Lonchura striata: one gene and its partner. The protein of the gene in region 1 purifies or fractionates together with the protein of each later gene. This does not show direct contact. Links are inferred from orthologs where the notes say so. Each region holds a gene or a part of one and is shown on either strand. Other genes may lie near its edges.

What was found.
Region 2: the proteins of PPP2CB (region 1) and PPP2R3B purify together in Homo sapiens (affinity purification with mass spectrometry; 3 studies listed by BioGRID and IntAct, counting the BioPlex papers as one, with this or other methods). This does not show direct contact. The link is inferred for Lonchura striata from reciprocal best matches to the Homo sapiens genes PPP2CB and PPP2R3B.

Annotation. Positions count from the first base shown.
Region 1 is NC_134606.1:72,150,593-72,160,930, forward strand, and holds the start of PPP2CB (serine/threonine-protein phosphatase 2A catalytic subunit beta isoform), read left to right. Parts: upstream 1-6,352; 5' UTR 6,353-6,437; coding exon 6,438-6,539; intron 6,540-10,338.
Region 2 is NC_134604.1:83,951,690-83,961,926, reverse strand, and holds the start of PPP2R3B (serine/threonine-protein phosphatase 2A regulatory subunit B'' subunit beta), read right to left. Parts: upstream 4,520-10,237; 5' UTR 4,462-4,519; intron 2,419-4,461; 5' UTR 2,404-2,418; coding exon 2,056-2,403; intron 1-2,055. UniProt on the Homo sapiens protein: The B regulatory subunit might modulate substrate selectivity and catalytic activity, and might also direct the localization of the catalytic enzyme to a particular subcellular compartment.

The DNA of each region.
Region 1 (10,338 bases):
GAAATGGGTGTGTTGGGTTTCCCTGTTGCAGCAGATGGAGGAGTTTTCCTAAACAGCTCCAGTTTTACTGGCTGGTTTTCTTGGCTTCCTTCTTCAATAGACCTTCAGGGGCTTGGATATTCAGTGGGAACCCAAGATGGTTAAAAACTCCAAATCTTGAGCAACCCCAAGCATTATGCTCTTACATCCTCTTTCAGTGGATGTAAAAACAGAAATAGAATCCACATTTTGGGTTGGGTCGGGTTTTTTCCTTTCCCCCCCCCCCACCCCCATCCCCACCAAATTATCCCTGCAAATTTAGCTTTAAAGAAATAGTACCAGGTGATGCTGCTGCTCTATCTGAAGCCCCAAAATTATAGTGGCTGAGGGAACAGCCTCTTCAAAAAGTACCTTGGTGACTCAGAGCCCACATCCCGCTCACTGTCAGCAGGATAAAGGCAAACCATTTGGGAAATTCCCCCCCCCAGCAAGCCCACCAGTCTCACTGAGTCCTTGAAAATAAGCTTGAGAGAAAGGGGGATGTGGAACAGGTATTTTTTTGTCTTATTTTCCCCCTCAGGTGTAGTTTTTTGTCCCTTGGAGATGGCATCTCATCCTTTGGGAAGGTAGAATGAAGTGTTTTCTCCTGCCTATCACACTTGAGGCCTGAATGCAAATGCTAGCACAGCACCCTTTTCTCTGGAAGGGCCTTTTAGGTGGAAAAAAAGGATTTTTAGTTGTTTGGGTTTTCAGATAGCTCGTGGGGAAGCGCATTGTAACAGCACACAGGCAATGCTTTACCAACCTTTTCTGTTCCTCCAAGAGAGACATTTTAATTTGCTTCAGTAGTTTAGATTTTGTTTCCTTGAAAGTCTTTTTGGACCCATGAAAATGCACTTGAAATGAGTCAAGTTTATCAAAACAAAATTGTGCACACACCCATGCACCAGCCCGCGTGTTCGTGCTTGTCTCTGGGTGTGTATACACATAGAGAAATATATTATTTTCCAAAACATTCCTTTTTTAAATCTTTTCTTTCTTTTTTTTTTTTTTTTTTGTTTGCGTTTTTTTGGGGTTGTTTTCCCCTACCCCCAGGATATTAACCAAAAGGTGTTTTAAAGTTATGGCATGAAAACTCCTAAATGTAAATCTGAGTACCTTGTGATGCTAATTAACAGGTTTTTTCCTGAAACTTTATGTGATGCTTAATATTTTCCTTAGGAAGTTTTGTTTAATGTTAGATCATTGTTCTGGAGGATGTTGGTCCTACTGGCATTAAACTAATGGAAATAAAATGCATGTGTTACAAGTGTAGAAACGGTGAAGAATTAAGTGTGAACTTACTGTACGATACTGATTCTGTTTTCAAACAATCTGTTTTGCTGTTCAATAGTTGACATATGGAAATGCCAATGTACTGTAATTTAGCACTTTTCCAATGGACCCTGTTCTCACTACGCCTGAGGGAAGAAGCAGGTTTGGCATGAGGCCGACTGAATGCAGCCCCCGAACCTTTTTCTGTGTGTTTTGGCACCAGAACTGGCCAGGTGGAGCTTGAATTGGAGGTTTTCTCATTGGTTTGGTGGCTGGCACAGGGCAGAGAGGAGTGGCTCTTCCATCCCCGTGGTCAAACCAGGACCATTTTGCAGCTTGGTCTGGTGAAAGGCGTCCCTGCCCATGGCAGGGAGGGTGGAATGAGATGATCTTTGGGGTCCCCTCCATTCTGGGATTCTAGGATTCTGTGATTTGGGTGCAGCCCTCGCTGTGGGTGGATGGACTGGTGGCATTGCGCTCCACCAGCGCATCCCCGCGGGAGCCAGGCTGGGGTCGGGCAGTCCGAGCTGGGGTGGGAAAGCGGCCGAAGCATCCACAGTCCCTGAAATCCAAGGGCAGAAGGGACAGCTCACCAGCCACCCCTCTCCAGCCCAAACCCTCCTTTCCTAGTGCTAACAGGGTGCAAAGTGTTACTTGTCATGTACTGTACTGAAAGGGTTAATTGATCAGTGACTGTATTGTACTGTATGAAAACTCATGAATTGCCTTGTATTGTTTCTAATGGACTGTTCCATGTGTCCCCACTGCCCATTCCCAAAGGACGCATGTGCTCAGTTGGGTCCTCCAAACTCTCTGGTGCTAACTCCTCCGTATCCGATGGTGCTCCTGCGGACTCTAACTGACCACATGCCTGTCCCCAGCTTGAAGTTCACCACGTCTTTCTCGTCTGTTTGTATCAAGTCTCACACACACACACACACACACAGACACACACATATGAGAAAAATTAAGGATAAACTTGAATTTGTTTCAAAGCCTCATTGACAATCTAATGTTTTCTATGTCTGCTTTTATTTTGGGATGGTTTTTCTAGAAAGCAGCCCGCCAGCACCTTCGCCCCGGGAGGGGATTTCGTCCTGTTCACTCCTCTGGCATCCGAGGTGAGCTGCTCCCTCACTGGCTTTTCAGGCTCAGCTGCTGGAGGTTGATACATCAGGAGCCAGTGAGGAAGAGGAGGTGCAGGTGCCTTCAAAGATGTCCAACCCTAAAAAGCAGATGGGATCCTCATGACTGCATAATCCAAACATAGGTGGGTGGGCACTGAGGGTCTTGGAGGGGATGAATCAGCTCCTTGCTTTGTGACAAAAATTGGCTTTTAAGAAGAAAAGGAGGTAGAAATTTAGAGTCCCAAAGGCGCCTCCATCTCCTCCCAGCATGGCTCATCTCTGCTGGCAGAGGAGCCACCTCCCAATCCTGAGGTTTTCCAGGTGACACACACTTTGGATGGCGTGAACAGGGCCATCCCCTCCAACCCCCCACCCCAATGCGAGCTGCTTTTTGGACAAAATTAAATCTGAATATATTTTATATCGATTTGAAAACAAAGTCTGATATTTACCCCTGTTCTCAACTGAATTTGCATATTGTTGTTTGCCACGATATTTGTTCTGTCTTCAAATAAATTTGCTTACTTGTGTAGTCTTAACTGTCTGCTCGGATTCTTACCACCATATTTGCCCCTGCTCCGAGATGCCTGCCTCACAGCTCTCCTTTGAGCACTTCCCAGGGAGGCGAGAAGGAAATGTTTCCAGGAGGGGGAATCATTTCAGCCTGTAAATGTTTTTCTCTCCGTTATCTCCCATTCATCTCCCCGGGGCTTTTCAATTTGATGCCCTTTTCCCCCCCAGTCTTCCATCATCGGCTCCTTCTATCCGGGTAAGCGCGTGGCAGAGGAACGGCTCTGCCTCAGCCCGCCTCATTTGAGCCATTGAATTGTTGCTGACACGTTTTTTCAGGGTGAGGCATTTCCGACGGCAGCGGTTTGCATTTGGGAATGGAGGGATTTATGGCCGCCAGCGGCCCAGAGCTCCGGGCATCGGCGTCGGCATCCAACGCCGGCTCTTCCTGCACATCGCATTAGCCAGACGTTGGCATCACTCACTGGAGACGTCGCGGCGGAAGGCAGTGCCCTCAAAAGGCTGGAAAACCGATTTGCACACGCGTTTCCAGGGAGGTAATCAAATCAGCCTGCAGGTTCAATAAAAGGAATAAGCAAATATTCCAGATTCGCCTGCGTTTGCATACAAAACCTGTTGCAAGGTTTGCAGGTTTTGAGGTTCCTCCCCCCCCCCTCCCCAAAACAGCTATTTGGGGATTAAAATTGTTCTGGACTGCTGCTACAGGAGGACATTTTTTATTCCCTAAAAGATGCAGCTGTGTCTGAGAGGGACATTTCAGGAGGATTCTTGTGAGGGTTTGGTCACTCTCCTTTCTTTCGGAATCCATCCCTGTGCATACATTACGTCAACAGAGTCCATTTTCAGAGATTCATCTCCCTTCTCCTGGCATCATTCCCCCTCTCTTTGCCTCTTTCCTCCCCTCTGACTTCTCCCTGGCTTTTTTTCCCAGTTTATCAAGATGTTGTAATGTTGCCTGCTGCTCCTCACAGTGCTGCCCATGGTGATAGATGCCACCACGGGAAGGAGGGAGACAAATCCTGTGGGGAAACGCTGGGAGAAAGAATCCAGGCTTCATGGAGGCTGCTGCCAGGTAGGTCTGCCTCCCATCCACTGCAAAAATGCTGTGCCTGCACTCCAAAATGTCTTTTAGGGATCCTTATCCTCATACCCCTGGGTGGTCTGGGGCTCCTCTGCACCCTCAGGGGGGGTCAGGTGCCCTTGGAGCAGCTCCCACTGAGTTTGTGCTCCCTCAGCTGCTGGCAGAAGGAAGAACTTTACTGATTTATTTTATTCATTGTGGGGGTGGGTTTTTTCCCCTCTCTAAAACACAGGAATCCAGCACCCTTTGGGAAGCAGTGGATAAGCCCAGGCAGTGCCTTCCATAGGCAATGGTGGCCATGAGTAATTTTTTCTGCCTCTGTTTCTCCTGTGTTTTGTATCACACTCTAAAAAGCCGAGTTTCAGTGGAAAAGTCACAAGAATAAGAAAGCAAGGTACCCCATGGGGGGGTTTAATGTTACACAGCCAACAGTAATGTGTTTTTTAATAAAGTAGCCTTTCATGCCACTTCACCAGCATTGCCTTTTTAGAAGGTTCTAGCAGAGAGATGATGAGATTTTAGAGAAGGTGGTGGAAAATCCTGCCTTCATTAATTCCCTGTCGCTGAGGCTTGTCAGTTTTCCCTGCCAGGGAGCCTGATGAATGTCCCCCTCTGCTGCCGGGAGATTCCGCAGGCTCTGTCCCTGCCACTCCTTTGCAGGAAAATCCCCAGCTCATCCCAAGAGCTCCCTCTTTCCAGCAAACCACGTCGTGTTGCTCTGAGGAAGGTCCTGGCTCAGGCTGTGAGATTTTGCTGGAGCTTTGCTGAGCACCTGCCATCGGATCGATACCTCAGAAACCTCTTTATTCCTGACCGGGAGCCAAGAGAAATATCTCAGCTGGATCTTTCCATTTAAGCGTCGCCTATTAAACATTTTAATGGTGGCAAGGAATCAGTAAATAGAAACTTAGCACCAAAGCGTGCACATCCATGTGTCCGTGCTTTGTTTCCTCAAATTAAATCATGGGGAAACCTCCAGAAACTGAAAGACAGAATAAAAGCTACTCAGCATTTGTTTTAAGGCTGGCCTCCTGAGACTCAGGATGCCCTTTTTTGGGTCATTTTGGACAAGCCAGGGATGATTTTTATTGGGGGTGCTGCTCTCCCATATGCTCCGGGCTGGGAAGATTTATTGTCCAATGCCACGAGGCAGGATTTGCCTTATCCCATGGCCGTGCTCTGCTGCAGTGCCACAAACATGGAAAATATGGTTAGAAATGACCTTCTGGAAAACCAATCAGCAAATAAAACATCCAGAGGAGCATGAACAGTTCCTGGCAGCTATCTTTCCTGGGAACTGGACTGGCAAGCGATTGTCCTCCAGAACAGTAGCTACAAAGCTGTGTTTTTTGTAAATTGTTCTCTTTTACTTTTTATAGCTGTATTTTCGGTTAGAAAATTCACTTTAGGGACACAATGTTGTGAATCCTTTCATTTTCTTCCCTCAGTTCAGGGTGAATTCCTCAAGTCCATCTCTTCTATCCAAAGGAGATTAAGGGACCTGTGATGGCCATGAGTGTTCCTGGTCGGACAGCCTGAGCAGCTCCTCAGCCTTCCCATCTGACATGAAAAAAACACACCACGTGGACTTGATCTATTTTATCCTGCTAAAAATCCCAGGGAAGTTTTCCCTCAGGGGTCTCCTCCAATCCCAGTCCTTTCTGCCTGGGCTGGGCACTCCGGGTTGTGGCAGTGTCGTAGCCTCAGTTACTGCATCTCTGTCACGATATTACTGCTCCATTTGGGTACAGGGGACACAGCAGAACGAGTCCAAAGCAGATTATATAAATAAAGAGCAGCAAGGAGGGATTTCTGCAGGTCTGTCACAGTTTAAAGCTGAGGGCGAGATGAGTGCCAGACTGTAGCAAATGTATTCATTTTGACTGCTTATATTCACTAATCATGTGTCATATTTAGTACATCATCGTACACGCGCTCCTGTAGCGATTACTGCTCCACAGTATTTCACGGGAATATGGCGAAAGGAATTAATACCGCGCCAGACAGGGATTGTCACATTCCCGGGCCCTGCTACCAACGCTTGCGACTCGACTCCGACAGCGGGCGCAAAACCTTTGATTTAATCCTTTTTCCCCGGCGAGAAGGGAGCAGTTTATTCCTTTTTCCTGCGGCGGGGCGAGCGCGGCCGAGCGGAGCCGGGAGGGGGCGTGGCCACGGCGGGGGCGGGGCCAGCGGGAGGGGCGGGGCTCTGAGGCCGACTCCGCGCGCCGGAAGCGGCGGCGCGCGGCCGTGGGCGTGGCCGGAAGTGCGCAGCAGCCGCGGCAGGCGGGGGGCGCCGCCATTACGCGGAGCGGAGCAGCCCCGAGCGGGCCGCGCGTCCCCGGCCGCCGCCGGCACCCACAGGCGGGCCCGGGCCTCGGGGGGCCCGCCCGGCCCCCCTCGCCATGGAGGAGAAGGGCTTCGCCAAGGAGCTGGACCAGTGGATCGAGCAGCTGAACGAGTGCCGGCAGCTGAGCGAGAGCCAGGTCCGCAGCCTGTGCGAGAAGGTGAGTGCGGGGCCCGGACGTTGGGAGGGCGGGACGGTGCCCGCGGTGTGTCCGGCGTTGGGAGACCGGCTTGTGGCCGGGGGGATACCGGGCTCTGGGGGGCGGGGTGGTGCCTGTGGAATACCGGGCGTGGAGAGAGCGGGGTGGTGCCTGCGGGACAGCGAGTTTTGGGAGGCAGGGATGCGGCTGCTGGGATGTCGGGCGCTGGGAAAGCGGGCGGTGCTTGTGGGGTGTTGGCACTGGGAAAGCGGCTGGTGCCTGTGGGTTTTGGGAGAGCGGGATGGCGCCTGTGGGATATCCGCCATTGGATCTTTGGGATGGTGTCTGTCAGAGTGGACGTGGGGTGGCCGGGGCGCTCCCTCTGGAGCGTCCCGCGCTGGGACACCGGGGTGGTGGCCCTGGAGTATCCGATGTCCTGGTGTCCTACACAACGTGGAGGAGCCAGGCGCTGGAAAATCAACCCCGAGTCAGTGAGGAAGCCCACTGACTTCCGAGGTGGGATCTCGGGAAGCAGAGGTGAGCCGCAAACAGGCTCGCAGCCTGCTGAGGCGACCAAAATAGAAAGAGGAATGGTCGGATAAAGGACACTGTCTGCTGTTCTGGGCTGCGGTATGGACAGGCCTTGGCAAACGCGTGCTTGGATTTGTTTAGTGGGCACTGGGAAAAACCTTTTTTTCCCATCGGGGGAAAGGTCCTTAGACTTGTGCTAGGTGTTGTCTGAGCAGTCCAGTAGCAGTTTGTGAGCACTCCCTTAGCACTGCAGTCTGTGACCAAGGGAAGATTTTCCTTGGCACGTTCTTCCAACAGTGATCCTGACACTCCCTAACCACCCCCCCCCACACACATTTTCTGGTTTCTTCCTTTTTGTTTTCTCAGTCCTGTGCTGGAGCCATCCGTTTGTTTTGTGCCTCTTTTCTCCAGAGCTCCATCAGTTATGAGGGAGCTGTGGCTCTTTAGGACGCTGGAATTGTGGCTGCTGTATTTTGGGAAGCTGAAGGCTGACAGGAGAGCTCAGCTGTAGGTGGGGAGGGTGTTTGTCCTTCAGGAAGCAGGTGACAGGGAGGTGTGTCATCTGTCACAGCACCTCGTTCTTCCAGGCTGCTGGAAACGGAGGGAAACGGCTGGGGCATGAAGGAAACACTGTGCCCTGCACTGACTTGGCTTGTTTAAGTTTTGGGGAGTGGTTGTGTCACCCAGGAGAGGAGCTTACAAAAAACTCTGGGTGTGCAGCCCTGCCACAAAGCTGGTTTAGTTGGTTTCCTTGAAATTATATTTGGAGGAATCCTCTTCTCCAGAACACTTTGTAACACTCTTGTTTTTGGGGCTGATTTCAGAGACACTCAGGACAGTAGTACCTTTTGCCTCAGGTTTCAAGTTGTGGAAGAACTCAGTCCTAAAACAAAAAATCAAAATGAAGGGAAAAAAGAAAAGAAAACAAAACAAAAAAACCACAATGAAATCCCAGAGCTATCTGTGTGGATCATTTTTGGTTTTAGGTAGTGGCGTAGAGGGCAGTGCTGAGGGGAGGATTGGACACAATGAAGGTGTGCCCAGTGATTGTGCACTCGTAAAAGTTGTTGAAATTTGCAGCTGTGGCAGTGACATTCTGTCCTCACCTGCCCAGTGGCAAGCTCATTAGGCAGCTGATCAGCCCCCTGTGGCTCCTGCAGGTGAGGGAGGTGCTGTTCCTCAACGTGATAACCTTGTTCCCATTCTCTTGGTGTTTAAAAGGGAAATTAGCTCAAATCCTACAGAAATTCAGAGGCTGATAGAAGGATTAATTCTGGTCACTGTTCAAGCTTCCACGTTTGGGGTGCAGGTGAGGGAGTTGAGAGCCACCCTGCTTAATCCAGGCAAAAGGGTTCTTCACCAAGATGATCAAATGGGCAATGGAAGAAGGCAGGAAAAGGCTGCCTCCTGAATTAAACAAGCAGCCATCCATGACCATCCCTCTCCTTGCAGCTTATCTTTCCTCTCCTGGTTCCTTGGAGGTGTGAGAGGGGACACAGGAGATTCCCTGTGTTGTGTCATGGCTGGCAGTGTTTTATCACTCTGTTGGTGATGTTCATCCCGGGGGGTGCTGGATCAGGGAGCACCTTAGCAGAGGCTCTGGGTGCCTCATTCCTGAAGGGTGAGACAGCTCCATCCCTGCCATCCCTCTGGCTTCCATCTCACTTGGCTGGTTGGCATTCCAGCCAAGCTCCCTGAGGTTCATAGCCTCAGCCCACTTGTTGGTACAGTAGTTTGGTCTGTGGCCATTGGTGGGATGAAGGTTCAGGTGAATTTGGATCCCCAACTCCACGCCTGGCTTCAGGTTCCCAGAGAACGAGCCTCTATGGGTCAGATCAAGCTGAGGGAATCAGTTTTCCTGAAGGAATGGAGTTTCTTCTCTCTCTGAGGCTCTTCAGAAACACACCAGGAGTTGAGCACAGACAGACAACCATTGGTTCAGTTTACTTAATGCAAGGGAGTTTTATTTAACAAAAACACCTAAAGACTGCTGCTTTTTTGTCCTGACCTGGATATGGTTTTCATCCAGCACAAGTGGGACAGATGCACAGGAGGCTGATACCATTAGTCACTGTTTTCTGCAACAAAGGTAGCTAAATTTTGACTTCTAAGTCATAGTTATTTATTAGCCTCCTGGATTAAGTAAGTGCTGATGATGCCAGGCAGCCTGCTTGCATCAGAGGTTTTTATTTTTGCTTTGTAATAGTGCTTTTTATTTTAAGTAATTTGATTTCAATGTTCACGCTGCAGGCAGATGCGCTGGTTAGTCACTGCTTTTCTGGGGTGTTTTTATCGATGCTGAGCATTTTGCAAGCCTTGTTCTGCATGAGAAGATCATCATGTGAGGGCAAACTGGGGCTCCCGACCCTGATGTAAACTGGCTCGGCAGAGTTCAAATGACAGCCTGGATCTGTCCACGTGCACCGACGACTGTCCACAGCATGAGCTAAAATGGGCTGCAGGGGAACAGCTGCTTGGCAGCGGAAGGAGCCGCTCCTGTCACCTGCCAGCTCCTCCTTCCTCATCAGGGGAAACTTTTGGATTCTCCTAGCACCAACGTTTCAGGTCGTGGGCTGTCCCCCATTCCTAGGGTAGGTTTAAAGTGAGCCCATTTGCCCTGTTCCTGTGGAAAAGGAGCACTGCTGAGCTCCAGCTTGGAACAAACCCCTGCCTGTTGCTTTGTGCAACAGCCAGAACACACGGAGCAGCTGTTTTGTGGGTTTATATTTGTCTCTCCCAGAGGGTGGAAGCTCTCAGAAGGCACTATAAATGCTTTTAAAGACGTGCAAGCAGAATTTGAGTGCTACTACTGCACTCAAATACAACATGTTCAGCAGTTCCCAGTCATGCCAGAAGTGCAAGGCAGAGCCCAACTCGTCAAATCCATGGGCAGGATGTGACTTTAAGGATCCGTCAAGTTAGGTTCTGTGCAGAGAGCATGCTGGATGCAGTCCAAACTGCTTGGGGTGTAGTTACTCCTTCCAAATACATGTTCTACCTAAAAGAGGCAAGGCAGCAAGCACTGGAATGGAAACTCAGGCATCCTCAGGAAGCCCACAGAGGGTATCATTTGGAAGCGGTTCCCTTCTGGCAGCACAGGGTGAGCCTTAGCTCATCCTGAGCTAAGGGATATGGCAGGGAATACCCAGATCATCACCTGCTGGTGATTGCTCAGTGTTGGTGATCTTCCAGCCCTTTTGTTTGGATCAGATGGAGCCATCCTGTGGGTGTTCCCTGTGCCTCAGATGTGCCAGGAGCGCTGTTCAGCATCAGTCAGTGAGCTGCAGGC
Region 2 (10,237 bases), on another chromosome or scaffold:
ATGTAAAAGTCTTTTCCTATTAACACCCTCATGCACACAGAGCTATGCACATTAACTTCCACCATTTTCTAGGACTGCTGTTTAGAATTTAAATCTGTATTAGCTTGTACTGTAGAAACACTCCAGTATCTGAAACATTTTCTTCCACTTACAGAAACAAGTTAAGGGCCTCAAACTTACTTAAAACTCTTATGAGGTAGGTAAAACTATTGTGGTTTGATCTGAGAAACATAGTAAGATGCACAACAGCAGAGGCATTAGTTTTGATACTGCATGAGGTAGTTTGTGGAAGAAAGTGGGGTACATTGTGCTTTCTAAGAGAAGATACACTGCCATGGCAGAACATGCCATTCTTGATGGTATTTAAGACCTGACACCAGCTGCAAATGCAATTTACACTTAGATATTAAGAAACATTTGGATGAAGATTCAGTTCACCTAAATAAATTTCTCACTGCTTGGAAATTCTCCCTCCCCAATCTACTCAAGCAACCAACAACCAACCCCTCTAGGTTCTCTCTCAGCACTATACAAACAATTCCAGTTAAGTCAAGGATGTTACCCTTCATTAATCTCTTCTAGTTCTTCTTTATGGGATTTACTTCAAGCAGTCAACCAAGACACATGAAGAGAAATTACAGTACACAAGTTAGCGATCAAGTATAGTAAATAACAGTGGGTTTTCACAGAAACTCTTCCTTTGCTTGCTTTTATCTGATACAAGAATAAACTGAGCAGCTGCTGACTGGCTTTCTGCATTTCATTAGAACAGGAAATATAACAGTGTGAACAACAACAAAAAAGTAAATCAATCACCATGCCCTGCTGTCTGGCTGGTAATTAAACATAAACACAAGTTGCTATTATTGTAAAGTCAATCAGCTGGCCAGCAGGGCATGGTTGGTGATTCTGCCCCTCTACTTTGCTCTGGTGAGACCCCAGCTGGAGTGCTGTACCCAGCTCTGGGGTCCTCAGCATAAGAAGGACGTGGATCTGCAGGAGCTAGTCCAGAGGAAGGTCACAGAGATGACAGAGGGTTGCAGTATCTTGCCAAAAAAGACAGGCTGAGAGAGTTGGGGTTGTTCCACCTAGAGAATAAAAGGCTCTGGGGAGAACTTAGAGCAGCCTTCCAGTAATTAAAGGGGACCAACAAGAGAGCTGGAGAGGGACTTTGTACAAGGGCATGTAGTGACAGGACAGGGGGAAAGGGCTTTAAACTGAAAGACTAAGTTTAGATCAAATTATTCAAATTCTTTACTGTGAGGATGGTGAGACACTGAAACAGGTTGCCTAGAGAAGCTGTGCATCTCCCATCCATGGGAGTATTCAAAGCCAGGTAGGATGGGGCTTTGTGCAACCTGGTCTAATGGAAGGTGTCCCTGTCTGCGGCAGGGTGGTTGGAACTAGATGGTATGGAAGGTCCCTTGCAGTCCAAACCATTCTATAATTCTATATTCATTGATCATTCATAAGCAACACTTTGTCAATCATGACAACATTTTCTATCCAGTTTTGTTTTTATAATTTATGAAAAGCACTAGAAACTAGATTGAACTGAATTGCAAGATTAAAAAGAATATTTCAGGTTGGGGGCAGGGTTGTTATCCTTGCAGAGAGGGCATTGTCTGTTCTAAATAAAGAGCTCATTAGGAAGGAAGTGCTGAGTGTACCATGCAGTACCAAAACAATTACTTTGTTAATATGCAAATCCAGTGAAGCCAAATTTGAGTCTTGTACTAACAACAGTGCCTGGTATCATTAGACAAAAGAATATTTGCAGTCAAGGCAATATGTTATAAAACGAACACAAACACAGGACTTAAATTCATCCACAATTAGATAGCAAGGACCCAAGATAATCTTATGGAATCTCTGGCCACCTATCCACTAACACTAATGACATACAAACATTGGTATTTTAAGTTCAGTGCAGCTGCTTCAGTCCACTCCTGATACCTCCTCTGGGGAAACTATTTACTTACACAATTTGCCAATACCACAAACACAAAAGTCAGTTCCATTTAAACAAATAAATCTAATAAGAAACAAACTTACTTCTTTGGTCCCTGAGGATCGATGTGTTGCTCTAACATTAGAAATGTTCCTTGAGCTAGCTGGAGTCGCCAATGGAAGAGTAGTAGAAAGCTGAGGAGGACTCAAAGACATCAAAGGCAACCTGGTATTTCCTAATATGCACTGCTTGGAACTGGAATTTTTACTGGTGAAGCTCTCATTTTTACTGTTTCCTAAATCTGCATTACCAAACTCTGTTTTCTCCTTATTCTTGATTCTTCTCAAGCAGTCCTTCAGTATTAGCTGAGTTGCAGGCTGACTCAACCAGCACAAAAAGAGTTCATCCACCTTCATTTTCACTGCAGGTTGCAGAACTTTTCCAGGTGACATTTTCTGCCAGTTCTCCTGTTTTGTTGGTTCAAATTCAAAGTAAATATTTGACAATCATATAAATATTCCATTCACCTTTCAGTGTTTCACAGGCATTATTTAACAAAATGTTAATATTTATTCCTTCAAGGTATCAACAAAAGTTGAGAATTATATTTTAACATGTGACTTCAACAACATTTTATAAGTGTAAGCCAAAAATCAGAGTCAATTCCAACAAAACAATTTCTTTTAAATAATGGATAACTTCTTTTAAAAGCATACTATGTAAACGGTGGAGACTAGAGACCAAGAAACTGCACTTGGGCTTTCTGAAAGAGATAGCTAACAAATATTACAAATATCCTCTAAGAATATGTGTTAAAAACATATGTATTATGAAAAATAAGACTTGAAAATGCTTATAATTGAACATACTAAGAAGTAAATATCTAAGCAGTTCATGCTAAACCCTGGTGATAGAACAAATAAGATTTAATAAGCAAGTCTTTCAGTCAAGAGATTTAGAACTAAGACTGAAGGCTCAGCTTCCATTCTGAGGTTGTGACAGGGACTTAAAATCTTGCATCCCCTCATGTGAGTGATTCCCAAAGCTCTGTAATTTGGTATTTTAAAAACGTCCTATTTGACACTCACTTTTGCAGTTTTTCAAAACTAATGTAAAATCCAATGTAGCTCAAGAATTATGACAGTGTGATTTCAGGTTCAGTTACTCACCTGAAACAAACAGATTTTTAGTAGTTTTTTGGCAGGTTTTTTCTTTTTTTTTTTGGTGTTAAAAAGACAGAGGACTGGAATGAAACACTGAGAATAAACCAAAGTTACCATAAAGATTTTCAGCATCCATTTACTTAATGATTTGGTACAGTTCAAATGAAAATATATCCTTCCTCATGTTTGTGGTTTTTTTAAAAGCCCTTCACAGAATTTGATCTATATGCATAAATCATATAATAAAATATATATGATTGATGATCTTAGATATCTCTTCCAACCTAAATGATTCTATATACAAATACTTGGCCAAACAAGCTTTAAAACAAGCACTTCAATTTGGAAATGAGTAACAGTGTGAAAAATGCATACTTTATGATTGGCTTATCACAAATATTAAAATGAATATTATATGTGTAATGTTAGAAAGTTATGCTGCATTAATTTTCTCAAATAGTGTGTTAAATATAGTTTTAGGTTATAACATAAGGTTAAAATAAAAACTATGTATGTGGGGTTTCTTTAAAGGAATGAGATACTCGCTTCAAGATAACAGTCCCAGAACACCTAAATCTTCCAGAGAAGAGGAATTTATGATTCTCCTATCAGAAGAAGTTAATTTCTTCAGGCCTTCCTCAGACTCGAAGATGCTGTGAGGATTAAAGGAAACAGTTGACATATAATAGACAGTTTCTTGTTTTAAATAGAATGTATGCATAACCATGAAGTATATATAAATATGCAATAGTGTATTGTTTTAAGTGTGATTCCTTTTTTCACATGGTATGCTTTTCGTGACTTAGTGTCTGAGAGCATCCGGACGTCCGTAATTATCTGCTTTGTATTGTCTTGTAATTGTCCTAACTCTAAATTTTTATTACTCTAATTGTATTACTATTTTTATAACCATTTTATTATTATTAAACTTTTAAAATTTTAAAACCCAAGTGATTGGCGTTTTTCACACCTAGCAAGCGAACATCCTACTAAAACCTAAAGCTCATCCTCGTCCCACGGAAGAACTAGAAGCCTTTTAACACTACTACACCACCTAAACTTTCCAAACCGCTGTAACTTCTCAGTTGAGTTATTCTCTTTCTGCCAATGAAGTCCACCTCGTTTCCTTAGTTTTTTAAGCTCAACACCTTCACGGCACTGGCGGCTGCGCTCAGCCATCCTTAAGCGCCATTCGCCTGGAAAGAAACGGTCCTGGGGAAGGGCCAGCCCGGCGCTGCGGCCACAGGCTCGCTCCCCTGGGGCGAGCCCCGCACTTCGCCTTGCGGCAGCGGCGCGGCGGCAGCTCAGGAGCGACGTGGCTCCACACCAGGAGACAGCCACACTCACCTTCCCCGTTCCGCCTCCGCCGCCGCCCCTTCCCGCCGCCGCCGCCTTCAAACGCGCGCCTCCTTCCGGCCCGGCCCGGCCCGGCCCGGCCGCCGCCATCTCGCGAGAGCGCGGCCCTTCCGCCCCGCGGGACGCGGCCGCCGGTCGCCATGGCAACGGGCCGCTCAGGGCCGCCGGCGCGGCGCGGCGCGGCGCGGCGCTGCCCTTCCCTTCCCTTCCCTTCCATTCCCTTCCCTTCCCTTCCCTTCCCTTCCCTTCCCTTCCCTTCCCTTCCCTTCCCTTCCCTTCCCTTCCCTTCCCTTCCCTTCCCTTCCCTTCCCTTCCCTTCCCTTCCCTTCCCTTCCCTTCCTGCCCTGCCCTGCCCTGCCCTGCCCTGCCCTGCCCTGCCCTGTGCGCAGTTTACAGCTCTGACGAGGTCTCGGCGTCTCACTGCCTCTCTGAGAGGAGCCGGCAAAGTGATGAAGGGGCAGAGTGTCTCCTCAACAAGGTTGCTGATGACACGAAGCCCTTCAGAAAGACCTCGACAGAAAAAAAGGGTCAGAGAACTGTGGAATTCAAAGGCAAATGCAGAGCCCTGCACCTTGGGAGGAATAACCCTGGCACCAGCTGAGGCTGGGAATGACCTGCCGGGGAGCAGCTCTGCTGAGAAGGACCTGGGGGTCCTGGTGGACAACAAGCTGTCCCTGAGCCAGCAGTGTGTCCTTGGGGACAAAGCCAGTGGTATCCAGGGATGCATAAAGAAGAGCACTGCCAGCAGGTCAAGGGAGGTGATCCCGCTCCTCTCCTCAGCCCTGGTGAGGTCCCATCTGGAGTGTCCAGTTCGGGGCTCCCAACCCAAGAGACGTGAAGCTCCTAGAGAGAGTCCAGCAGAAGATGACAAAGAGAATAAGGGACAGGAGCATCTCTGTTAAGAGGAAAGGCAGAGGGAGCTGGGTCTGTTCAGCCTCAAGAAGACATGATTAGGAGAGGACCTTTTTAATGTGTATAAATATCCAAAGTGGGGGTGCTGAGGAGATGGGTCCAAACACTTCTTGGTGGTGCCAACCACTAGTACATGAGGCAAGGGTCAAAAACTGATGCACAGGAAGCTCCACCTGAATGTGAGGGAGAATGTCTTTACTGTGCAGGTAACCACACATGCTGGAACGGATTGCCCAGATTGCCCAGACAGGTTGTAGAGTCTCCCTCATGGAAGATGTACAAGAACCATCTGGATGCACTTCTGTGCCATGTGCTCTAGGATGACCCTGGATCGGATGACCCACTGTAATCCATTCCACACAATTTACCCATTCTGTGGTTCTGTGAAAGTGAGCTTGTTCCATCTGCTAAATGCTGTTAAAAGGAGAACACTAAATGCTCTTTCTACAGAATGGCTATGGTTACCACTAGTGTTACAGGATTGTAAATGATAGGATGAAAGAGGAGGTGGAGGCAGTAACAAATAGAAGGATAATCCTCTTACTAAGAGAATGATGTGCGCCAATCTGTTTGCAGCCCCTTTTTTGTACTGGAAAACATACACTGGGATTTTGTGGTTGTCAGCTTTCAGGGGCACCCCTTTGAGTCTCCCTGGGTGCATTTATCAGTGGGGTTTAGGTGGTTGTCTGTTGGCCCATATAGTTTTTTTCCTTTGGTATTTTTTACATCAGTGACTCATTGGTATATTTACATCACATTCCCTATTTCCACTGCACTGAGTTTTCCTCATATGGCTACACTTCACTTTTGTTAATCCATTTTACATTCTGCCAATTCCTTTACCAGCAGAGACACTACAGATTTATGGCAGGTTATTATTACAAATTGTTGGAACATTAATGTTGTGGAAATGGGGCTGTACTGAACCGAAGATGATACAGTAGTTTGAAGGGAAGGCTTGAAAATGCAAGTAAGAATAAAATGGGGTAAGTGAAGGAATGGGCTTGCTTTCTCATTTTTGGAAGCTTGTAGAAAAGATACAGAGATAAGAAAGGGCTGAGGAGAAACAAAAGCCAAGATGCTGTGAGAGAAATCTGGTACAGTCCAGCACAATTATGTTTGGGTAATACCAGAATGATATTTTGATAATAACAGTCATCTGGAAAAACCCAGTATTACTCTATCAGAAGGCTTTAGCTTCCAGCTGTAGACACTGAAATATATTTTCAATATATTTTCACAAATCTCAAAATGAGATTCTGCACTTAAAAAGACATTGAAAGTTCTTGAGGGAGTCTCCACTTTTTGAAGTAGGGGTAGTATTATGTTTCCTGCCCATTGGTTGGTGAAGTTAGAAAATATATTTTTGGAAAGCCACAGTGGACAAAATGGCATTTTTTAAACTGGAGTAAAACATTCAACATAACACAGCGGAAGCAGATGTCGAAGTACGGATAAATCTGTATATAATATGGAAGTAGCTTTTAAGTAGAGAAAAGAAATTTAAAACCCTATGTTATGGATAGCAGCAAGATTTTTGGCAGAGAACTGAAGGGCTGAATTATGAAGACTGATAGCAGAGCAAGAGACATGGAACAAAGAGGACTTTTAAAACATTTTGAATGCCTTTGAAGCATTCCTTAGTGATGGTGTAGCCATCTGTTGATTGACATGTTGAAGACAGGTGGGAAGAAGGGGATCAGAGACTGACTTGACAGAGTTGTAGAGTTGGATATCATCTGCAAAGAGATGATGCCCTTTGTTGAAACTGGCAATGAGATCTCCCAGAGGAACATGAGAAATAAGAAAAAAAGAAATTAAATAAACCCTCTGAGAGATGCACACAGTCATTGTGTTCTCTCATGCATGCTAGTGTAGATTCAAAGCATTTCTAGCTCTGACGTCATTAGAGTGTCACGGATAACACTGGTGTGAGAGAGGAATCAATTACATCTGCCTTCTGTTAAGAGGAAAACACTTTGGTCATCCTCACCAGATTGTACCAGAACTGGTAATTGAGACAGATGTTTTGAACTTGTGTCTGGATGAATCAGCTCTACTCAGCAGTGTGTCTACTGGTAGGGGTGTGTGTTTGTAGAGATACAGGGGCTCAAACTTGGGCAAAAGTGGAGAAATACCTAAATTGAACCTCTTTGTTCAGATCTTCCACCGAGAATTGAAACTTGAAATCCTTTTTGCTGCTATTTCCTTTTGTTTGCTTGACATGGTGACTACAGAAGCTGAACCTTTTTTACATTGCTTTCAATGTATGGAAAACAAAAATCTGTTCTAGGGTCTTACCATTTTAATGAAATGTATCCATATGGTTTAAGGATGGTCACCTTTAAAAATCCACTGAATAATTATTAAATATTAAAGTACTGAGCATGCAATATCTAACTGATACCTGAAAGTTTAGTGATGGAGTCACACTTAGCATTGCTGTAAAAGACACAGACTATGCTTTAGGTGAGGCACTTGTTTAATAAGTGCAGCAGAGTGGTGCATTGATGTAACTTGAGCCAATTAATAACAGGAGTGCTTGGGCCCAACAGCCCAGTGCAGTGGAGTTAGGATACCATACAGGTGTAGCACGGTACCTCCCTTCATGCTGTGTGTGGAGGTACTAACCCCAGTGCAGAAACTGAAGAGCCACATCCAGCTCTTGTTGGCTCTGCTGCCTACAGCTAATTTCTCATTTTGCTTCACTAGTATTGACTCAGCAAGTGTGATATTAGCAGTACTGTCAATATATGTTCCTGGCTAAATATCAAAGTCTTCCTTTGCCTTTATTTGTCACTGTGTACAGTGGCACAGGACAATGGTGTTCATAAGGAATATTTCCATTCCTTACCAGCATTTTGAAGTGAGAGCTGGGCTTCTTTCTGATAACCTAGGGTCTGTACAACTTAGACATACAGGTAATAAAGAGATGTCTCCAATCTCTCTGTGCTAAAGCAACATTTCTAAGGCCTGATAAATGTTATCCAGAGGTTGACATCTAACCTAGATCAGCTGTAACATGACTTAAAAGTGTTCCTCTCCACTACTTAATAAGAATCTCAATTAGAATTTGAGGTACATATAACTACATTTTAGAAATCTAAAATTAGATAGGATAAATGTGTTTGGAGAATTATATTTACTTGCTTGCACAGGGCTATGTCAGATGTACTCTCATCCCATCTCAAAAGCAGTTATCATCCTTAAACAGAGTGGCAGGTTGAGGTGGAACACGTCTGAGATCAAAATACAGTTCACTGCAGGATCTTTCTGACTCCTTATTCTGGAACATTTCATGTGCCTTTGTGCTGGTATATCTGGGCTTCACAGGGGTAGTATGAGCTTGCTTTGGATTTCTGTTGAATATGGGGTTGGTAATGGAGAAATGTTTTTGTCATTGCTGAGCAGGACTTACAGAGAGCCAAGGCCTTTTATGCTTTTCCTACTGCCAGGCTGATGAGCAGACTATGGATGCATGGGAGACTGTGAGCCAGGACAGCTGACCCCAACAGACCAAAGGGATATTCCAGACTATATGACATCATGATCAGTACATAAAGAGGGGAGAAGAAGGAGGAAGAGGGGGAATGTTTGTTGGAGTCATGATTCTTGTCTTCTCATGTCACTGTTCTGTATGATGAAGCCCTGCTCTCCTGGAGATGACTGAACATCTGCCTGCCCATAGAAGCAGTGAATTAATTTCATTGTTTTGTTTTGCTTGCGTGCATAGCTTTTGCCTTTCTTCTTAAACTGTGTTTATCTCAACCCATGAGTTTCACACTTTTACCTTTCCAATTCCCTCCCTGATCCTGCTGGTGGGGGAGTGAGTGAGCAGCTGTGTAGTATTTGGTTGATGACTGCGGTTAAACTATGATAGCCTGTCACTCAGAGAAGAGAACTACAGTACCGCTTTTGAATGCTGCTTTAAGGACATTATTGCATTTTGATTTGGCTTTTACTTTTATAATTCTTTTATAATCCTTTTGCTGACATAGTTCACAACTTTGAAATTTAGGCATGTGAAGTCCAGTTCTAACCTGTATATAGGTACTAAAATAACTATGTCTTGATTTCCGGATGTGCTAACTTAGTTGGAAGCAGGTGTGCTGAATATCTCTGACAAACCAGTCACTTTTATTTAAGTTGTTGTTATTGGAAATTTTAGCCAGATGGGTTCATTGAGGTTCCTTGTAAACCTGCTTATGGTATGCAGTCAAGGAGACTTCAGGGGAGTGTATATGTTACTTTCCATCAAGTGAAGGATAAAGTCTAATGTACTGTCACTCAGATTCCTAGTCCTGGTAGTAATTTGGGGGAATTAAGAGGATTTTACATGCCTTATGCTGCATCAATTAAAATGAAGATAAATATTAAGAAAACGGTAGTAACTGGTAATCCACTGAACTATGTACCCATACCAGCTAACCATACCACTCCATGCTTTCTTCTGGCAGCTTACCAAAAATAGAGCTGGAATGGTGAACTGTAGGTCATATGGCCTCCAGAAGTAGCATCATAAGCAGGCAAAGATATGTCAGCAATGCTGACTTGGTGCACATGTTTGGCAGCAAGCAATGCTCTCTGAAGAGCCTAATACTGGGATCTGAGGCTTGAATTTTCTCTGTCTCCTACCACCTTGAGGTAGAATACTGCAGTAATATAGGATCTGATTGTGCTGGTGCACAACTCCTTTAAGAGCAAATAAGAGATATAATTACAAATTCTTTTGTAACCTGCCAGCTTTCATTGTGAGTAGAGGCATTTAAATGTTCTGTACTTGCAGACACATTTTGTTTCCTCCTTATCATATGCACCATGTAGTTAGAATAAGGCCTTGTCCCTGGCTCTCTCC